Linked DNA regions of Rattus norvegicus. The protein of the gene in region 3 binds, or shares a complex with, the protein of the main gene of each other region. Links are inferred from orthologs where the notes say so. Each region holds a gene or a part of one and is shown on either strand. Other genes may lie near its edges. The genes, in order: Taf10, Taf4, Taf3 and Taf6.

Region 1 (4,590 bases), on a different chromosome or scaffold from region 3:
AGAACTGTTTCCTGTACTACAAGGGAAGGCTCAGTTTCTCGTTATTCCTCAATGGAAGCCCTGATGAACTCTTAACTGTTGCCTGCTGCAGATAGCTTCTCCCTAACCCTCAAATGCTGTGAGCAGGACTGGACTCCCAACCCTGTGAGCCATCAAACTCAGGTCTCCAAACTTCTACTTCGAGATCCCCAACAAGATGCTATAACCAGCATTTTGTCTCACCCCAACCCCATCTCTCCTTCCTCTTTCCAGCTTGAGATGTGAAAGCAGGGCGAGAAGATTCAGTCTGCATTACTGACACCAGCAGTCCCACCTAATGCTTACCACCTCTGCACTGACCGTATGCTCTTTCTCTTCCAGCTGCTTCTTCGTTCACTGAAATGAGACCTTTGTGCTAATCGTTTAGTCTTTCTTCCCCTGGCACTGAAGTGCAATGGTCTCCCTGACATTCTATCCAGTTATACACTTCTCAGTGTTTTATGGGCTTTCTTGTTTAAGAACAGGTTGGTGATGGGTTGGGGATTTAGCTCAGTGGTAGAGCGCTTGCCTAGGAAGCGCAAGGCCCTGGGTTCGGTCCCCAGCTCCGAAAAAAAGAACCAAAAAAAAAAAAAAGAACAGGTTGGTGACAATCTATATAACTATTCTAAGGAAAGTTCAAGTTTGAAAATTTTAAATGTTTTAAATGTTCTTATTGGCAAAGCTCCTCAACAAAATAAATAGGTGTTACAAATTTTGCTTTAAATTTTTGCTTCAGTGATTTTTTTTTTTGTAAATTATTTGTAAATTTACATTTTATTTTCCCCTTCTTGGCTACACCAAAGCAGCATTCAGGTTTTAATTTCAACTGTCAGACATTCACAAACATCTAGCTTCTGTGAACCTGGGTGTTCGTTCTTTCCGTCAGTTTCCCATTCCTTTTTTGCTCAGTGTATACCCCCTTTGACCACACTAACTGTCCTCCTTTTCAACTAATTATGGGATGCTGGTGTTCATTGTTCCATCCGTAGGTTTTTACTCATATTTTATTAACATCCCTTGATAGATCACTGACATCTCAAATGTAAGATACCTCATTACTTCATCTCCCTCCAGCCCAGACCTAAACTATTTCATCTCTTAGTCTGTGATATAATGCCTCTTTCAAACAAGCCAGAAACCTGTAACTCTTAATTTTCATTTTTTTTCACCTCCCTACTAACTTCAACAAGTTTTACTGACTACTTCTCCAGATATGTCTTTATCAGCTAGCGTGGTGATGCTCACCTTTAATCCCAGCACTTAGGAGGCAGAGACCAGGCAAGCCTCTCTGAGTCCATCCTGGTCTATACAAAGAGTTCCAGGCATGCCAGGCCTACGTGAGACCATGTCTCGAAAATACACAAACGTGCGTGCACGCGCGCGCGCGCGCGCGCGCACGCACACACACACACACACACACACACACACACACACACTACTGCATTATCTTTGAGCCCATGTCCTTTTTCCTCTAAACTGCAGGAAGTACTTGGGTAGGGGAGAGCCTTCCAAAGCCCCTCAGCATCCTTGACCATGGGTAAGTCATCTTCTAAACCAAACAGTATATTTATTTGTGCAAACCCTTCAAAGATTACTGGGTAAAAGTCAGGGACATTGAAACCTGCCTTCAAAATTGGGAAATAAACATTGCTAATGTCTGACACTTGGAATTAAGCAGCTGATGTTAGTTCCCTACTTCCTTGCACTCCACCTACGTGTATCTGGGAAACAACCATACAGTATTAAAATTGTCTGCCTTCCTTTTCCAGAGCTTGGTGCTAGTGAACTAGAATCTGATTCTTAACTTTGTATTCCTAGGTCCCAACCCTGTAGTTGGCAAATAGAAATTAAATAAATGACTGTTGAATTGCTAATGTGCTTCACATGTGACTTTGGCATGTTATTTCTTCGGGGTGAAACACCTATCTCTACATTTACAGCAGCACGCTTCTAGGACCGTTGTGGGTGGGAGGGACACACACCAAATCCACTAAAATCCTTAAAGACAGTGAAAGGGAGCGACAAAGAATGAAGACTGTTAAGGAGACTGGTAATGAAGTATCTGACATATGAGTCCCCAAGTCAAATCTGCGCACCCAGATGAAATGAAGTGTGCAGTCCTGGATTCTTCGCGGTCCCATCTGGGCAGGGTTGAGCCGCAGGGTGGAGGCTAGGTCTTTCACAGTTTACCTCTGCCAGTCTACACCTAATCTGCCAACAGCCAACCTAAGGTCGCCCGCGGCGGACTAAAGCGGTGGGGCGGGAACTGTGACGTCACGCAACGTGCGCCTGGGCGAGCGGAAGCGGAAGTAGCTCTGGTTGCCGCCTTTCCCACCAGCCCCATGAGCTGCAGCGGCTCCGGCGCGGACCCCGAGGCGGCGCCAGCCTGTGCCGCCTCGGTCGCGGGTCCGGCGCCCCCGGTGTCCGCTCCCGCTGCGCTGCCCACTAGCACGGCCGCGGAGAGCAAAGCCAGCCCCGCGGGGACAGCAGGGGGCCCTGGAGCTGGAGTCGCCACTGCAGGCACGGGCCCCGTGGCGGCACGGGCAGGGGAGCCCGCGGAGCGGCGCGGACCGGGTGAGCTCCGGGCCGGGTGAGGGAGGGGGGAATCTCCGACTGGGTGCCGCAGCGGGGGTTGGGGGGACCCTGCGCTTCTCACCTGTGTTGTTGATTCTCCTTCAGCTTCGGTGGCAGCAGGCGGCGCGGCTCCCCCTGAGGGGGCAATGTCTAACGGGGTTTACGCCCTACCGAGCGCGGCCAACGGAGAAGTGAAGCCCGTAGTGTCCAGCACACCACTAGTGGACTTCTTGATGCAGTTGGAGGATTATACACCTACGGTGGGCTTCCCGCCTGTACAAGGCCACCTGCCTCGCTGTCGTGCCTTTCAACCGCACCTTCATGCTTTCAAGCGTCCTCTACTAGGAAGCTGTCTCTTTATTCTTCCTCCCCACCCAGCGCATCAGTAGGCAGAGCTAATAATGACGGCTATTTGATTTTTCAGATCCCGGATGCAGTGACTGGTTACTACCTGAACCGTGCTGGCTTTGAAGCTTCAGACCCACGCATGTGAGTAAACTCAGAGGTTAGACTGTTGAGTGCTGGGTGGAGTTTGTTAAATATCTCATTACCACCACCCCCTTCCTCTCTAGAATTCGGCTCATCTCACTAGCTGCCCAGAAATTCATCTCAGATATTGCCAATGATGCCCTACAGCACTGCAAAATGAAGGGTACAGCCTCTGGCAGCTCCCGGAGCAAGAGCAAGGTGTGAGAGGTTCGCCTTCCACAGCAGTACAGACTTAACTTATCCTGAAAGCCTTTTGGGGAAGCAGCATCCTAGGGGAGGTATTGGGCCTACTCAGGGTTACCCACAAAGGACTGGAATCTGGACTTGCTGTGCTCAGCTGGTGGTCTTCCCTCTTTCCCCCAGGATCGCAAGTACACCCTAACCATGGAGGACTTGACCCCTGCCCTCAGCGAGTATGGCATCAATGTGAAGAAGCCGCACTACTTCACCTGAGCCACCCAACCCAGATGTATTTGTCTTCCCCTCTGTCCCCACATGAGCCTGTTTTCATAATAAACTTTATTGTGACAGGCGGGGCTGATCCCTCCCATGTTGGGAGACATCAAGTGGCAAGTGACAAAGCTCTGAGCCCAGCCCTCTCTGGGGCTACAGTGGTAGGGATGGGAGCAGGGAACAAGCCCCATAACTGGGGTAGTACCATGATTAGAGACAGGGGAGGCAACCAGAGATCTTCAGCTTCGGGGAAGTGCATTCCCCCAGCCATATGCTGATACTTCTGAAGTTTGGGCAGGGACCTTCAAGTCCTACTTGTCCTGCATCTTCTCCAAGATAGGTACAATCATGTCAAACTTGGGTCGCTTTGCAGGGTCTTCATTCATGCAAATCTTCATGAGCTTACACACGTGGGGGGAAATACCTGGTGGGATAGTAGGCCGAAGGCCTTCCAGTGCCACCTGCAAATTATACAGAACAAGGTGAGCTTCTGAATTTGAGTTCATCATATGGGCAAAAGCCTTTGACCCTTGAATGGTAGGATTACTATAGATCTGTATACACTGCAGGAAGGGCTTACCACAGTGATGTCAGCACCACTATCCCCACACAAGTATCTGCAGTTCTGTGCTCACCTTCATTCCAATCTCCATATTAGAAAGGTCAGCAAAGGGCACCTCTCGTGTCACCAGTTCCCACAGAAGCACGGCAAAACTCCACATGTCTGCTGAGCGTCTGTTTGTATCTTCAGGCTTCTTTTGCAGGGCTGGAAGGGATAAGGCTTATTAACTATTCCAGTTGCATAGCCTTTTTAGTCTCTGCCTCTTCTACTGTTACTGAGCTAATTCTTCATTTCCCAACATGATGCCTTTACCTACCTTCAGGGGCCACCCAGGCAGGTGCATACATGCGCCCAGGGCACTGGAAAGAAAACTTTACATCAGCCATGCTGATTCGGGCAGTCATATCTTCATCGATCTGAGGAAGAGAAGTTAAGGTCAAAAAGGTGGAACCTATTGTAGGCCAGCAAAGGGCTTTGGGGACCAGAAGTGAACT
Region 2 (5,543 bases), on a different chromosome or scaffold from region 3:
CTTTCACACTCCCCTCCTCTGCCAATGGTATGCTAGTCCACTTGACACCTATGTGTAGCCTTGAAACCTGCCTCCCCTCTCTCAGCCTTACCCTGCAAAGGCTGCTATTGGCTAAACAAAGTTCTATTAGAAACTGTTTTCTCCTTTTCTGAATATATCTCATTATGAAATGTATCAGTAGAGGAGGAACACCAGTTAGAGAAAGTCCTGATTGCTCAGATACAGGGAAGACCTAGTATGTTTGCGTCCTCTAACCATGTCTCCCTGTCCTGTTTTAAAAAGAAGTTGGCTTTCCAGCACTGGTGGTAGTAGTTTTAAGCACCAAACATTAGCTTAGCTTTGGGTGTTTTTAAAGTAAGGTTCTCCCTCAATCAGCGTTCCTTATCAAAACAGCCACAGGAGCCAGACGGTTAGGAAGGTGGGTATGGATGGGCCTTCTCCTTAGAAAGCATGTGCCCACTCTGAAGCAGAGCGCTGGGTGTCTGCCACCCAGAAGGCAACAGACTCTGCCCTACTCTTGGACACAAGCATGGGGCTGATGCAGACGTAGAGAAGTGCGAATGATGGACCTATTTACTTTTTCCCCAAGGAGTTACCTTCTGCTCAAACACCAACCCTGAACCTGACCTGAAAAAGGAGGCAGTTGTGATGGAGACGGCAGCCAATGCCCTTTGCAAATGGCATTGTCATTTCTCCCGGGGAGATGGACTTTACTTGTACGGCACTCAAAGGCAATGGAACCAGGGAAAGTCAAGACGCTATGGAAGGATGTCATGGCACCTGACTACGACAGCTTTCCTGATAAAAGGACAACATGGGCACATCCTTGCACTGGGGAGTCTATTCGAATAATAGACTACAAGCACAGAATGAATCTTAAACTATAACATCAGCCATATTTTCCACCCAAAGGTCAGAGTGAAGATAATGAACAAGACCTTTCAATCACACACACGCACGCGCACACACACACACACACACACACACACACACACACACACCCTGCCCCAGATGTGTGGCAAGAGACATCTGCAGCTCCTAGGCCTTATGTCACACCCAGCGCCTCCTCAGAGCATGGCAGCCCCTGCAACCTCACTAACTATTCTGGGTCCTGTATCCCCATAGATAGGGCAAGTATCTCTGAACCTTTTCGGAGCCTTCCTGGTCCTCACTGACCTCAGCAAAACTGAATTCTAAAGATGCTTTAGCTCTTTCAACGTGACCCAAACCACTTTTCAGAAAGCAGGGGGACACAGTAGCAGCATGTTTTCTAATTCTCTACTACTGCCACCGCGGTGGGCGGGCGGCGCTGCTACTACTGCTTGCACATGTCACTGTGTAACACGGGAGGAGCGGAGCGCTCAGTGCTCGCTCCGGCCCAGGGTTCAGTGGGAACACTTCTGCAGAGGACTCTCAAACAAAAGCAGTCTACAAGCGGGGAAAGGAGTCACTCATCAAACCCAAGGGCCCTGAGGAATTCGAGGACAACAGAGTCAGAGCCTACATGGAATCTGCAAGCTCTGAGACAGCTTCTGAGCCCCAGCATCCACATCTCCATGATCTCCTGCATCCGCAGACCCCTGCGCAGTGAGTGTCCTGCTGACCTCCAGGGATGGCAAAACAAAAACACTCAGGGTCCTCTTTCAGGCACCGATGACCACTAAACCCCTGCTCCCTGCATGGAGTCCCTAACCAGCTTCCCTGACAACAGGGAAGCCCACGCCTTCCACACAGACTTCACCATCCTGCCCCTGAGTTAGTTCGCCCTCTCTTGACCTCACCTGAGGAAGGAGAAAGAAGGGCCCCTCGACCACACAGTGGTAGCCCATAGCACCCCAACGGGACACCAGAGTTCCCTGAGGGCTCTGGAGCTCCAGGACTGGGAAGCCCTCAAAACTGTCAGGTCACCTGGGCAGAGGCCGCCCCTCGGCTTCGCGTGCCACCCTGCCAGGACACAGCCCCAGAATGCAGCCCAGAACTTCCTGGAACGCCAGGGCCGCCTGGTGCACCCGCCCTCGCCTCCCGCCGCGCGCTGCCACTCACCTGGGGGCAGCTGGAAGTTCTGGATGTTGGTCGGGTTCTGCGGCGGCTGCGGCAGGCGCGGGGCCAACACGGTGGGCGTCAGCGTGGCCCGGATAGCGCCGGTGGTGGCCGCCGGCGTCCGAGGCAGGCTGGGGGTCGCTGCGGCCGCGCCCTTCGCCAGCCCCGCGGGGGTCCCGGGAGCAGGCCCCGGCAGCGCGCCCGGCATGGCGGGCCCGAGCAGCACACCGCCCGCCGCGCCCCCGCCCGCGACCCCCCCCGCCGCCGCCGCCGCCGCCGCCGCCGGCCCCGGCCCGGGCCCCGGTCCGGGCTTGGGCGCCTCGGCCTTAGCCCCCTGCGCGCCCGCGCCCGGCTGGCCCAACCCCGCGGCGCCCCCGGAGGCCGCGGCGGGGGCAGGAGCGGCCCCGTTCTGCGCGGCGGCGGCGGCGGCGGCGGCGGCGGCAGCGGGTGACACGGGGGGCGCGGGCGCGGCGGGGTGCCCGGGCGGCCGGGCTGGCGCGACGGGCGCTGGAGGCGCGGGAGGCGGGGGCGCGGCGGGCGCGGGCGCGGCGGGCGGCGAGGGCGCGGCGGGCGCGGGGGCCGCCTGGATGACAGAGCCGGCGGCGGGCGGCGGCGCGGGCCCGTTGTTGACCGGGCTGACAGCAGGTGCGGCGTGCGGCGCGGTGGGCGGCGCGGCGCTCCCATTCAAAGTTTGCGCGGCGCCGGGGCCGGGCGGGCCAGGCGGGCCGGGCTTGGAGGCGCCGGGGCCGGCGGGCGGGGCGGCGGCGGCGGGATCCGGCCCCGCGGCGGCGGCAGCGGTGGCGGCGGCGGCGGCGACGGGGCAGGGCCCCGCGCTGGCCTCGGGCGGCGGCCTCAGCTTGGCGGGCGCCGGCGCGGGCCCTGCGGGGACAAGCAAGCGGCGCGGTGAGCTGGAGCCCGGGCGCCGCGGGCCCCCACCCGCCGGCCGCGCTCTACCTGCGGGGGGCGGCTCCGGCGCCGCTGCGGGCGCGCCCTCGGCGGAGGCGGCCGGCCCTGCGCCCGCGGCTCCGGCCGGGCTGCCGCTCACAACATGGTTCCCGAGCGCGCCGGCGGCCGCGGCCCGCAGCTCGGGCGTGCGCGGCGCGAGGTGGTGGTGGTGGGCCGCGCTGGCCGCCAGCTGCGACTCGAGCGAGCCCACCAGATCGCTCACCACTTTCTCGTCCACCTCGCTGTTGAAGAAGACCTCGTCCAGCAGATCCGAGCCCGCCGCCATCTTTCCTCCTCGCCGCCGCCGCCGCCGCCGCTCGGCCGAGCGCGCCTGGGCAGGAGGAGGTTCCAGCGGGGCGCGGGGCGGGCGGGGGGCGGTGCGCGGGGCGGGCGGGGGCGCGGCGCGCAGGGAGGGGGGAGGGGCGGCCTAGTGCGCAGGCGCTCCGACACGCACCGCCCCCGCCCGCGCCTCTGTGGCCTCTGATTGGCTGCGGCCGGCTCTTAAAAGACGCGGCCAATGGCTGCGAGCGCCAGAGGCCGGGGAGCAGGCGAGGTGTTGGGTGCTGGTCGGCTGTTAGAGCGCTGGTGGGAATGGCAGCCGGGCGGGGAGAGCGGCGGCGCTCGGTGCCGGGTGGGTCGCTGCAGCCGGCTGCGGGGTTCGCCCTTTGTCTGCACCCTTCCAAAATGGCTGCGGCCAGGGCGGGCGGCGACAGCTGCGCGGGCGCTCCCGGGGCCCCGGCGGTCAGTGAGGAGCAGGAGTCCTGGCAAGAAAACGCTTTCGGGGCGGAGAGGTGCGCAGAGGACGCCACGGACGCCACGGGTCAGCTCCTCTGACTTACAGCGGTTAGTAAGAGGGCCGTGCACACCGAAGCTGGACATCCGGAAGCTGATTTGTTCTTTATTTACTTTTCTCGTGGGGGAGGGGGTAGTAAATCCTCTAAACTGATGCTTGCAAGCACTTTGTGGGAACGTTTTCGTTACCATTTCGCCCCTTTCTTCCTGGGTGTTTTCTTAACCAAAAGGCCGTCTTATTGAACGTTGCTATGATTTCGTCTTTCCATTTTTTGAAAAGGCCCCAAAAACAAATTCCAGATGGCAAAGCTCCTTGTTGGGACCTCACTGCAACTGACCCTCCCAGAATCATCGTCACTTCTGAAGAGACTTGCCACAGTCCGCACAGATCCAGCACTGGGGAATGAGGAATGTGACATTGTAATTTTTTTTTCTTTCGTGCCTTGAAAGAGGCGTTTCCTACCAGCCCGTACTACCTATACACACCATCCCAGCACTTGGAAAGTGAAGGCAGATTAATAAGGAGTTCAACCTTGGTTATATATTTAGTTGGAGGCCAGCTTGGGGTCTCATGAGACACTTATATCAAAAAGGTGAGGTGAGGACTCTTCCTCTCTAAAGCAGGCTGCTCTCTAACTCTCAGCCTGTGTGCTGATCCTGTCCCAGCCTTTTAAACTAAGTGAGTTATAACTGCTATACAACAAACCCCACCCTACCCCAGCTGTTCTCTAAGCAATAGTCTATCTAAGGAACTGTACACGTTGAAACCCCCACCCCCACCCACCCCCAAAAAAACAAAACAAAACAAAACACAGTGCCCTCACTTGCAAAGTGTGCTAGGGAACCCTTAGACAACAGAAATTTTGTTCTTGAACATCAGCCTCCAGGTTTGGAAAGCCAGTAAAAAGGAGGAGACAATGAGAAAGCAGGTAGGGTGCTACAAGCCAGTGTAGGATTGACACCAGGAACAGAAATTCACAGTTGTGAATAAAACCCAAGCGTCTTCTTCTGACACAGGAGAACACACTTGGGGCCAAGAGCATCCTAAGCAAGTAGGGCACCACTTAGTGACAACCCTCCAAACCCAAATCGGAATTTTTCACTCTTGATGGTTTGAAGATTTTAAAATGGACCAAACACTCAGCGGGTTCTTAGTCATCCACTTGATGCTGGTTAATGGGAACCACCAGTTAGGTGTACAACAGCCTGTACCCCAAAACCCTTAGGTGACAGGAAGCAAAACAGTGAACACCTATAGCAAAGCCCAGACTCTGAAGCTCACAGGCCCTCGGGTGACTGTTGATTCCCAGTGCCATACCCCTACCCTGCATGTCCCTTGCTGCCATGGTACTAAGATCTTTCATGAGAACAGGCATTGTCCTCTCCATAGGCTTGCCAGACACATCTCCAGTGTGGTTCCAAGCCTCTAAAAGAGAATGAAGCCTCCTTCCATGCCTAAGCATCTGCTGATGACACAGCCCCTGAGCCACCAAGACTTAAGTTATAGGTGTAGGTTTAGGGTCTGTGCCACCAAACTCTTCACTCCTTGCTGCAGTGCCCAGTATGGGAGCCACAATGCAGGCAGCTGTTTTCAAGTACACTGCCCTTAAGACTGGAGTGAGTGGAGCTGAAAAATCTCCCCTCCTCAAAACCTATATATATGCAAGGGACAGTAGACACTATTAGAGACGTAACCTTTGTCACTCTGGAGACAAATTTCCTTTAAATGTCTCTCCCTCTGATACATTGTCACAGGCCATTACGAC
Region 3 (4,837 bases):
CTAGTAATGGCTGTACCATATAAATCTCCCTCGAACGTCACCAACTAGGGACCAAGTGTTTAAGCACCAGACCCTATGGGCCTTCTCATTCAAATTAAATAGAAAAGACACCTGCATATCTTTTAGGGCTTCATGACTTCTGGGGAGGAAGGGATTCCTTTGAAGCCAGTAAGACTCCAGGCCAACGGCTCAAGAGAAACCACTCACAAGGAACGCCACAGCACTTCTCACATTTCCTCTCAGAAGTCAGTCAGTTGACACATCTGAAGTCGTGAGGGAGGAGTGTGTAACCAAGTTATGGAAAAACACAATCCTTCTATTATGTATCTGTGAAAAACATACACGTGGGTATTGATTGTTAGAATGTCTCTACGTGTGTGATCACTGAGAAAGTTAGCCTAAGTTTCAACAGTGATAATGGGATAGGCCTTGAATTCTGAGCTCTTTAACTGTTTCTGGACACTTTAAAGCATATTTTTCAAGACTGGGGATATAACTCAGCTCTTAGAGTGGTTGCCATTCATGCATGAGACACTGCAAAATAAAATTAATAAACATGGATGGCAGTATGGCTCTGCAGGTAAGTGTGACAACTTGAGTTTGATCTCTAGAACTCATGTGGTGGAAGGAAGCGTCTCCCAGCACATCGTCTTCTGACTGTCTCACAACATAAATAAATGCCGTGCAAATCTACTTTGCTTCCAGACAAAGGTCTTTGTAGGAATTGTTAAATCTATGGTACATTTTGACCTTGGCTTTTTTTCTCCTTGACAGTGTCATCAGCAAGGTGGTGCCAGCCCCGGAGGCTAAGCCCGCTCCTTCTCTGAACAGACCTAAAACCCCGCCTCCGGCCCCTGTCCCTATTCCTGTACGAGTGAGCCCTACTCCATTGCCGCCACCACTCCTCGCCCAGGCTGCGGTGTGCCCTGCCCTGATGCCATCCCCAGCCCCTGCCCTCTCTGCAGCAGGGAGCGCCAAAGCCCCAGTGCGGAGCGTCGTGACCGAGACAGTCAGCACTTACGTGGTACGTGTGTCTCCACAGCGTTTAAGGGGGGGCTGCTTCTGCAGTGCTGGCCCTCACAGCAGTGCTTGATAAATGGAGAAGCATTACCATTGCCTTTTCAAGCTCTTGGCTCAAAACCACATAGATGATGTTCAGCTACATAAATGAGGCCAACCTGCATTTGTGTTGATTTGAATCATGTCTATACCTGAATATAAGAACACCAGTGTACAACTGTGATATTCAAATACCTCAGTGGATTCCTACTAGAGTGAGTAAATTACTGACGTCAATATAATTTATGTATTAGACATAGATCTTATGGGCTGGCTATTATTTCTCAATGGTAGCACTATTCATTATATTTTATTTGCTGAGATCCAGAATATATAGGAACTTACATCTTAACTAGAAAGAACCTTTAGACCATAAGAATTTCTGAGCATTCAAGTGCTTTTTTTATTCTTAGACCTAGCTCGGTGGTAGAGAGTGTGCCTAGCACGTACAGGGCCCTGAGTTTAACCCCTCGTGCTGAAAGTGAGTAGCAAACGCTTCTCATCACATCGAATGGCCCTGCGTTCTCCTGAGAGTGCCCTTGGCTGTTCCCACACTTAATTGTGTGGGGTCTGATTCCAACACCAAATTCAATCCAGTAATGAAGTATTTTATAAAGATATGTTCTCAGGGCACAGTGAAGACACACACAAGCACACTAAGTATTTGTAAATGGAGATATTGATGCCTTTGAATGACAAGCTCCGCAGGCTGTTGACTTAGCCTAGCCCTTGAAGAGATGAATGATTGAGAAGTATCTATATAGCATGTTACATGGGGGAGTTTGGAAAAAAAATAAACCATTATATATGTGAGACAGTATAAGGACACAAGTATAAAAAAATCCTGAATGCATTCACAGAGTAGATAGACAGGAAAAGTTAACTTAAAATTAGTAAATTGGCAATGTGATAGAAAAACCTGTGAGGATCGATTGGTCCACTCCTCTCCACCGAGGAGTATAATTGAGGCATCACCCCCAGGTGAGCTGACCAGGAAGGAGTTTATACTTAATCTCCTCAGCCTCCATTTGTTTATCTGTAATTAAGGGATTTGTATTAGACTCGGTAATCTCTGTACTCTTGTCTGGCTCTGAAGATTGTGGCTTTCCAGTAGATATCGGAACTGACTTCACAGATGTGAAAGCACCTGGAACAGCGCTCGAATGTCTCCTAGTCTAACTAGACACTTTATAGATGGAGGACACACAGGACGATTCTCTCACTGCCTACTACTGTACCATTGACAGTGAGATTCCTGTAGGCCCTGTTTCCCCATTTTTAAACTATCCAAAGATGTGTTTTAAAAGAACTCAGTACCCAAGAAAATACTGTGTATTACTGTGGTGCTACAGCAATTTTTTTTTTTTAATGTATCTCAAAGTCACAGCCTGCTAATGTCAAGTAAGGGCAGCCAGCAGCGAGACCAGCCATGCATGGTGGGTTCGCCCACTGAGCACCCAGTGCCTGGTGACTACTGGTGCAGTTGTCCCCACGTTAAAGCTGGCAGTCAGAGCAGCTTTCTCCACGTTCCTCTAGACAGGCTTCAGATGAGTGTAGATTGCTTTATAGAGATTTTTGAAATAGTAACCCTTGAATGAGTCCATGCATACAACAGAACATATCCACTCTTGATTCCCCCTCATAAGGAACCCTGGCCTTTCACACATGTAGTCAGTGTAGCACTTGAAGGCATAGGAAGAGGACACCTTACTCTGTGGCCATCTAAAGTAGACTTGCCTCAGTGCTCCTTTGCACCCATGCAGAATTGGCTTCGATATTGTGACATTTAGAAAGCCATCCAGTTAGGAACACTCCCTACTGAGAATGAAGCCGGAACCCTGGAACCTGCGGTATTTGGAGCATAATGATAATTAAGTGTGCAGTTCTTTGGCCCATGAGCCTCTGCTTCCCTTTGCCCTCTAGTGGATTGTGCTTTTCTAAGATGCCATGCAGGGAATGGAAAGTTACTCAGTAACAGCTCTTTTACATCCTTGATCTTATCACCTAGTTCAGGAGAAGGCTTGGCTAATGAGTAATGAGGGAATGCATGCGCGCTCGACTGTGTGTGCTAACCCCATGCTATGAGCGTGGCTGAGAAAATAGGGAAACCGAGAGCTTTCAGAACTATCCGTTGTGTGGCCGATAGGCCAGATTCACGAGGGGTTCGGGAGATGAGAGGAGTTCTTAGGAGAAGCTGTCTGCCAGTCGTGACAGTTTCAGAGACGACTCTGCAATGCTTTGTTTTAATGATTTACAGAGCAGTTTAGAATGTGCATCAGAAACATGTCGTTCTATCCAGGCACAGCAGCACATACCAGAAACCCCGGCACTCATGAAGTGAGGCCAAGATTGTAGTTCAAAACCAGCCTGGACCATAAGTGGCTGCCATGCCTGCCTAAGCTTATAGAACCTACCTCCAAAATAATAATAATAATAACAATGCAGGATGGGGTAGAGAGAGGGAAGAGTAGGGAGAAATGCAAGAGGGAGAGAGATAGTGAGGAGAGAGTGTGGGGGGAAGAAAGTGTGTGTGTGTGTGTGTGTGTGTGTGTGTGTGTGTGTGTGTGTGTGTGTGTAGGGGGACTATTGTTCACTAAGTAGCTGTTTTCCTCTGTGTGGTTCCAGAGCGGGGGTGACTGATGGTGACACACAGACAGTGCTGGTCTGTACGCCTAGCTTGTTGGTTTAGTGTGCACAGCATAAAGCAGCATTCTTATCTGGCCTCTTCTGCTTCTTTCCCCACACCATTTCTTCGGGCTCTGCACCTTACCACCAGATCCGTGATGAGTGGGGCAATCAGATCTGGATCTGTCCAGGTTGCAACAAGCCAGATGACGGCAGCCCAATGATTGGCTGTGACGACTGTGACGATTGGTACCACTGGTGAGTGCCCCCAGATCCCCAGAGTGCTAGACCGCAAGACGGCCAGCCGAGCCTGAGCATCTCAGAGCGACTCAGGACAGGGTCAGTAACTGCACTGTTGGTCGTGCTGTTGTTCCTGAGCCTGACTGTGGATGTCCTGCTTCAGTTCTGTACCCTTTCCTACAGGAATAGTAACTCCCCTCTCCTCCCTGCCCCTGGCATTGGGCTGCATAGTGAAGTTGAGGTCAACCTGGGCTACCTGAGACTCTTTCCCACCCTCAGCCTCTCCCCCCAAGTGAAACATACAAGCAAAGCCATTGCATTATACTCTTCCTGATGGAAAGAACAAATAAACTAATTAGTCTCACTATACAGAAGGCGCTATATAATATAGCCCAAATACCCAGCGTAAGTGCTACAGTGTTTGGGCAGATTTCTGGTGTATACATCATTTTTGGCATTTATTTTCATTGCGGGATTGGAGCGTGCTGTATTGGTTTGCACACCATTTCGTTCCCTGTTTCTGAGCACAGCACGTGGCTCAGAGACCGCGTGCTGTTGGGCATCATGGCCAGTGTCTTCATCTGTTGAGCCACCATGCCTTAAAGATTCATTTTAAAGCACCAGAAGAGAAGGGATTGGTTTACCTCAGTTGGTAGAGTGCTTCCTTAGCATGCAGGAGGAGAAGCCTTAGGTTCCATCCCCATAGCTGCAAAAGCTGACTGTAGGGTGCACACATCCCAGCTTAGGTAGTAAAGGCAGGAAGATCAGGAGTTCAAGGTCATCCTGGGCTACGTAAGGAGTTCAGAGCTAGCCTTGACCGTACCAGGAAGAAGTGACCCCTTTGAAAACATGGCACAAGGGCTGAAGAGATGTCCCCATGGTAAGAGCACTGTCTGCTGCTGCTTCTGGGAGC
Region 4 (5,524 bases), on a different chromosome or scaffold from region 3:
GCATGAACTTCAAAGCATCCTAGGGGGTGAGAAGGAAAGAGATTTTGCTTTTGTTTTCCGAGACAGGGTCTTCCTCTGTGTAGCCCTGGCTTTCCTGGAACTCACTATGTAAACCAGGCTGGCCTCAAACTCCAAGTGCTGGGATTGAAGGCCTGCCCCGCCAGGGCCCCTCTGAGAAGAGATATGTATCTAAGACCCTGAGGAATATGGCTCACTGAGTAAAGCATGTGCCTAGCAGGCACAGGAGCCTGAGTTCAATCCCAAGCATCACATGACAAGACATGGTGTTAGACCCTCAATCCCAGCAGTGGAGGTGGGCACAAGAGGGTCAGAAGTTCAAGGTTATCCTTAGTTACATAGTAGGTTGAATTGTTAGCACAAAGCAAAGCTGGGCAGAAGGCTTACCTGGGCAATCTCCTTGATGCGGTAGCTGACCTCATCTGTCAGTAGCTGGCAAGTCTCCTCCTGAATCTGAGCAATGCCCATGGATTCTGCCACCACCTTCATAGACTCGGAGGGCAACACGGTATTGCTGAGTTTCAGTTTCTTCTCCTCAGCCATGCTGGAGTTCCAGCTCCTGTCCCTGGAAGGATGTCACCCCAGGGTGGAGAGATGGAGATCCTAAGAGTGGGATGTGGCAAGACAAAAAGGAAAACAGTTCAAAGCCTCCATCTGCGTTCTCTCCTTACTTACAGCTCACCGTCAAAGCAAAGCTACCAAACGGCTTGCTCTGTCTTTTTTCTTTTAGACACAGGGGCTCACTATGGAGCCATAACACTTCTAATTCCAGCCCCCAGCTTCTGCCTTTCAAGTACTAGGATTATAGGCATGTAGTAACATGCCCAGTGACAATTTTTTTGTTTGTTTGCTCTTACTTTTGTGGATAGGTTTCTTTAGCCATGCCCTAAACTATGTAATAAAAGGTAAGTCTTGACTCTGGATTCTTTTGCTACCTTCCTAATTCTAGGATTATAGACGTACCCCGACAGTTTTGTGGTGCTGGGAAATACTTTAAAAACTGAGCTACATCTCCAGACCCAGTTTGTCCCCTACCCTTCTACCCTGAGGCTGTGTAACCCCAGCTGACCTGGAACTTGCTCTATAGACCAGGCTGGTCTCACATTCAGAGATCCACCTGCCTCCGCCTCCTGGATGATGGGATTAAAGGCCTGTTCTCTCTCTGTCTCTCTCTGTCTCTGTCTCTCTCTCTCTCGGGCCTCTTGTAGTCCGGGCTGGTCTCTTACTCCATATGTGCTGAAAATGTCCCTGAACTCCTGGTCCTGCTACTTCCCAAGTGCTGGGACTATAGGCATGTGTCACCACATCCAGCACAACTCATTCTTATCTGGACGCTTGAAACAAATCCATCAAGTAAGGGCTGGAAGATATAGCATGTATATGGACCTGGGGTTGATTCCCAGCATGGTATTAAAACCTACCAGGCAGTCCAACCAGACCCTTTTTGGCCTATCTGCTGAACTCAGTTGCTGGACAAGGTGTTCCTATTTCTATCTTACTTTTTTTTTTTTTTTTTTTTTTGCATTTGTTCCTTAAAACCAAAGTGGTTTTAAGTGTCAAAATATAAAGCAGATAACTATTTCTTTCCTATAATGGTTCCCCTTTTGACATAAAACCCTCCCAAGGCCTTCCCTTCAAGATCTGTCTCTTGTCCAGTTCTGCGGGTCAACCCTTCTGATTTCAGTGGACTGCCTTGAGTTTTATACCAGGTCATGCTTCAGAGTGAGACCCTACATCTGTACACTTGTAACCCCAGCACTCTGGAGGCTAAAGTGCACAGACAGCAAGTTTGAGTCTTGCCTAAGTGGTTTTTCCTTTTCCTTTCTTTTCCTTCATACGTCTGATCACCTATCCCTCCTTTTCCCATTTAACCTGTCACACATCATTCTTCTTGCTGTCCTTTAAATCTGACAGGTATGTAGTGTACTTGGCTTTATAACTTTTGTTGTGTTCTTCCTAAATGTGTTTGGCTGACTACCTTATCTGACCCCATCCACCTCTCTTTAGGGGCAGGTGGCCCCCAGCCCAGACTGGTTTCAAATTCACTATGTAGACAACACTGGTCTTAACTCCTGGTCCTTTGGCCTCCACCTCCCAAGTGCTGGGATTATAAGCACATACCACCATGCCTGGCTTTACTTGTTTGCCAAAATTTCTTCTAATAATAAATGATATATATTATATATATGTATTCTATATAATCACTCTAGATTAAATCTAAGCTTTCCACATGTTAAGCAACCCTTCTACAATTGGGTCTCAGGCTTGTCTGGAACTCATTCTGTGGCCTTGATTTGGAGATCCTCCTGCCTTTTACAGCTGTTTACCGCCAAGCTATTATTTTTCTTGTTTATTATTCTTACCCCACCAGTAGACAGGATTATGTCTGTTATGTCCGCTGACCAATCTGGTGCCTAGATTGACTAGTACCTAGGACATTATTAAATATATGAATTTTAAGTCCTAAAGGTGTAAGTGTTCACTAAATACTTGGTATAACAATTACCAAAATGAAAAAGACACAGACCCAAGCTTGGAGTTTACTCTGTGGTCAAATGGAAAGGAGCTTGCCTGACACTGGACATGAGGTCAACCTCAGGAGTGTTCAGAGCTGAGTGCTGGGGAAAAGGGGTGTGTGTTTGTGTGTGTGTGCCAGGGTGGGGGTTGGGGGTGGAGGCCAAAGACCCTGGTTCTTTCCATCCCAATTTTTCTCAGACTTTTGTTAAATCTTGTCTACAGGAAATACAACTATTCAGCACATACTCTGAACCTGGTGCCAAGTATACAAGAGGCAGTTGGGTCCCAGTCCCCTGCCACTAAGGGTTCATAAAACACTAACACCCTCCGGAATTTCTCAGATCAGTGGAAACGACAGGAAGACTTCTCAGAGGACGGATAACTTGAGCTATATCTGTGCATCATTTTCCTCAGCAGGGAAGTGATTCGAAGATTCCCCGGGCAGCGCTACAGGAGGTTCACAATCTACTACATCTCCCCAACATCCTTCCAGTGCAATCATGCACAGGGTCCCCACTAGCACGGACACACAACCAACCGTCTTCTTCCCAGTCCTCACATGGGCCCTTTCAAAGGGTCTCCTCCCGGGTACACCTCAGACCTTCCCCCGCCAGCCAAGCACCGGGAGCAGTAAAAGCTTCTCACCGCTGCCAAGGCGCCGCTCACCCGGCGCTCGGCGCCATCTTGGCCCCGCCCCCTGGCAGTAGTAGGTCCTGGCAGAAGCCAAGAACTTATCACTGCTCTTCCCTATGTCAAAATAGACCATATCGTTTCACAGTCTGGAATTATTTAAAAATTAAATTCTACGTGTATATGTAAAGATCACATTACTCTATTCTAATTTCTTCAATTTGTATCTTCACTACCCAGCTGCCAGGACCTTCAGGAGGCGCCACAAAAGTAAGGCCGGGAAGCCTGGAGCCATTAGGCTCCACCCACTTTCGGGCTAACTTTGGGCATGCGCTGACCGTCCCCTGTAAGTTTTTTTTTTTTTTAAAGGCTTGCTGCCGGCTGCGCCTAAGTTTAAAGGGCCCGCTCCCTTTCAGAAGTTAGTCTGAAGGCAAGAGGTGGTTGTGTGTATGTGTGAACTGCGTTTTGTCATGGGACCTGTGCGGTTGGAAATACTGCTTTTCATCCTGGCAGCGTACGGTGCTTGGACTGGAATGACAAAAGAAGAAGAAGCTGATACAGAACGTTTGCCCAGCAAATGCGAAGGTACAGAAATGGAGCAGTTGCTATTTGCATCTCCTTATCCTAGCTCCTGCCTTTAACTCTAGGCTGAATCAAATGGACTAGGATAGATGGGTCACTCAACTGTCTTGAAAGAGGTTCTGTTGGAGCTTGGTAACACTTGAATGGGAACGAGGGAAGGAGAGCAGTGTTACGGTGGCACTACATTTCCCAGGTGGCATCCAGAAGGAGCTAGGTTTTTCTTGCGGGCTTGGGCTTGAATGGATTGTGGGAATTGTAGTTCACGAACCTGTAACGCTGGCTCTACCGAGCATCTTTCTCAGTGCGTTTCCCTACTTGTTAAAAATCTAGACAACTTGCATGGGTGGGGTGTAAGGTTCATACCTTATAGACGTACTGTGCCCCGCCCTGGCAGAGACGCTCGCAAATTACAGGCCTGATGACCCCCTTCAGGGGTTTAAAGGTGAGTAAGTCCCCAGCTGAAGCTCATAAACAAAAGATGGAGACACCATCATACCACTTAGAAGTTGCCCATCAGTGTGAGACTTTGCAGATGGGTTGCACTGTAGGGATTTTACAACAAGCAGCACAGCCCCTGGCTGCATCAGTAAATGCCCCCCTCCCCACTCTACTCCCAACAGGGAGGAAGCCAGGTCACTGAATAAAATATCCTGTGGCTCCCTGACATTAACTTTTTCTTTGGATTTATTATCGTTTCACTTTACACCCAACAACATTATTGTCATTGTTACCCATGACTTTATTCTAATCTCTCATTTTTTTTTTTTTGCATCTGTGTCTTTGGGGGGGGTGGGGGGGACACGTTAAGACAGGGTTTCTCTGTGTAACTCCGGCTGTCCTGGAACTTGATCTGTAGTCCAGACTGGCCTCAAACTCAGAGATCCACCTGCCTCCGCCTCCCGAGTGCAGGGATTAAAGGCCTGTGCCGCCTTGGCATCTCCTGGGACCTCTTAACCTTTCTAAACACAGGCCTAACCTTGGCACTGTTGCTTTTGCACCTCTGTGTTCAGACAAAGACCTTATGGAGGTCAGAGGACAACCTCAGGTGTCATTCCTTCAGAAGAAACATCTACCTTTTGCTTGAGAGAGGTTCTCTTGTTCCCCTGAAAGTTATCCATAGACACCTCCTGTCTCTAGTTCTGATCTCAAAATGCTGGGATAACACATGCCACATCGCCTAACATTGTATAGGTGCTTAGGATCTGAACTCAGGTCCTCAAGTTAAAAGTACTTTACTTACTGAACTGTTTCCCCAGACCCTAAGCCAACTTGGGGTTTGGGGGAGCTGTAAATGTCTTGTATATACACTTAGGCTTTTTCCTCCATTCCTAAGAGTGACTGTACTTCAGACACACCCAACTTCTCAGTCAGTGAGTATCCCTTGTCTTTTTCTTGGCTGTTTTCCCCCGTTCCTTTCTGTGTTTGATAAGCTCCTACTGGACCCAGTTTTACTTTCCTTTGGACTCCCTCCTTGCCTGTCACCCACTGTATTGTAAGTAAGTCCCCAGAGGAAAAGGGAGTGCCCATGGCACAGGTCATATAGCACAGGGTAAGCATTTTGGTTATTTATCCCTGCCTAGTTTGTCATTTCTGTAGGAGACTTTTCTCTTGAGAAACCCAGCCCACCATCAGATATTGGGTTTCTTTTTTTTTTTTTTTTCTTTTTTCTTTTTTTCGGAGCTGGGGACTGAACCCAGGGCCTTGTGCTCGCTAGGCAAGCGCTCTACTGCTGAGCTAAATCCCCAACCCTTATCAGATATTGGGAAAGTCAGTGGTG

What was found.
Region 1: Taf3 (region 3) and Taf10 share a complex: the UniProt entries of both Homo sapiens proteins name them as parts of the TFIID basal transcription factor complex. The link is inferred for Rattus norvegicus from reciprocal best matches to the Homo sapiens genes TAF3 and TAF10.
Region 2: Taf3 (region 3) and Taf4 share a complex: the UniProt entries of both Homo sapiens proteins name them as parts of the TFIID basal transcription factor complex. The link is inferred for Rattus norvegicus from reciprocal best matches to the Homo sapiens genes TAF3 and TAF4.
Region 4: Taf3 (region 3) and Taf6 share a complex: the UniProt entries of both Homo sapiens proteins name them as parts of the TFIID basal transcription factor complex. The link is inferred for Rattus norvegicus from reciprocal best matches to the Homo sapiens genes TAF3 and TAF6.

The regions. Positions count from the first base shown.
Region 1 is NC_086019.1:169,505,964-169,510,553, reverse strand, and holds Taf10 (transcription initiation factor TFIID subunit 10), read left to right. Parts: upstream 1-2,345; 5' UTR 2,346-2,360; coding exon 2,361-2,592; intron 2,593-2,697; coding exon 2,698-2,852; intron 2,853-3,016; coding exon 3,017-3,081; intron 3,082-3,164; coding exon 3,165-3,279; coding exon of another isoform or gene 3,280-3,285; exon of another isoform or gene 3,286-3,288; intron 3,289-3,444; coding exon 3,445-3,534; 3' UTR 3,535-3,614; downstream 3,615-4,590. Other genes in the region: Ilk (integrin-linked protein kinase), read right to left, coding at 3,846-3,995, 4,170-4,300, 4,413-4,512. UniProt on the Homo sapiens protein: The TFIID basal transcription factor complex plays a major role in the initiation of RNA polymerase II (Pol II)-dependent transcription.
Region 2 is NC_086021.1:187,457,715-187,463,257, forward strand, and holds the start of Taf4 (transcription initiation factor TFIID subunit 4), read right to left. Parts: upstream 3,329-5,543; 5' UTR 3,272-3,328; coding exon 2,044-3,271; intron 1-2,043. UniProt on the Homo sapiens protein: The TFIID basal transcription factor complex plays a major role in the initiation of RNA polymerase II (Pol II)-dependent transcription.
Region 3 is NC_086035.1:73,510,993-73,515,829, forward strand, and holds part of Taf3 (transcription initiation factor TFIID subunit 3), read left to right. Parts: intron 1-774; coding exon 775-1,024; intron 1,025-3,835; coding exon 3,836-3,942; intron 3,943-4,837. UniProt on the Homo sapiens protein: The TFIID basal transcription factor complex plays a major role in the initiation of RNA polymerase II (Pol II)-dependent transcription.
Region 4 is NC_086030.1:22,174,723-22,180,246, forward strand, and holds the start of Taf6 (transcription initiation factor TFIID subunit 6), read right to left. Parts: upstream 3,217-5,524; 5' UTR 3,181-3,216; exon of another isoform or gene 3,074-3,180; intron 622-3,073; 5' UTR 562-621; coding exon 406-561; intron 20-405; coding exon 1-19. Other genes in the region: Cnpy4 (protein canopy homolog 4), read left to right, coding at 3,615-3,750. UniProt on the Homo sapiens protein: The TFIID basal transcription factor complex plays a major role in the initiation of RNA polymerase II (Pol II)-dependent transcription.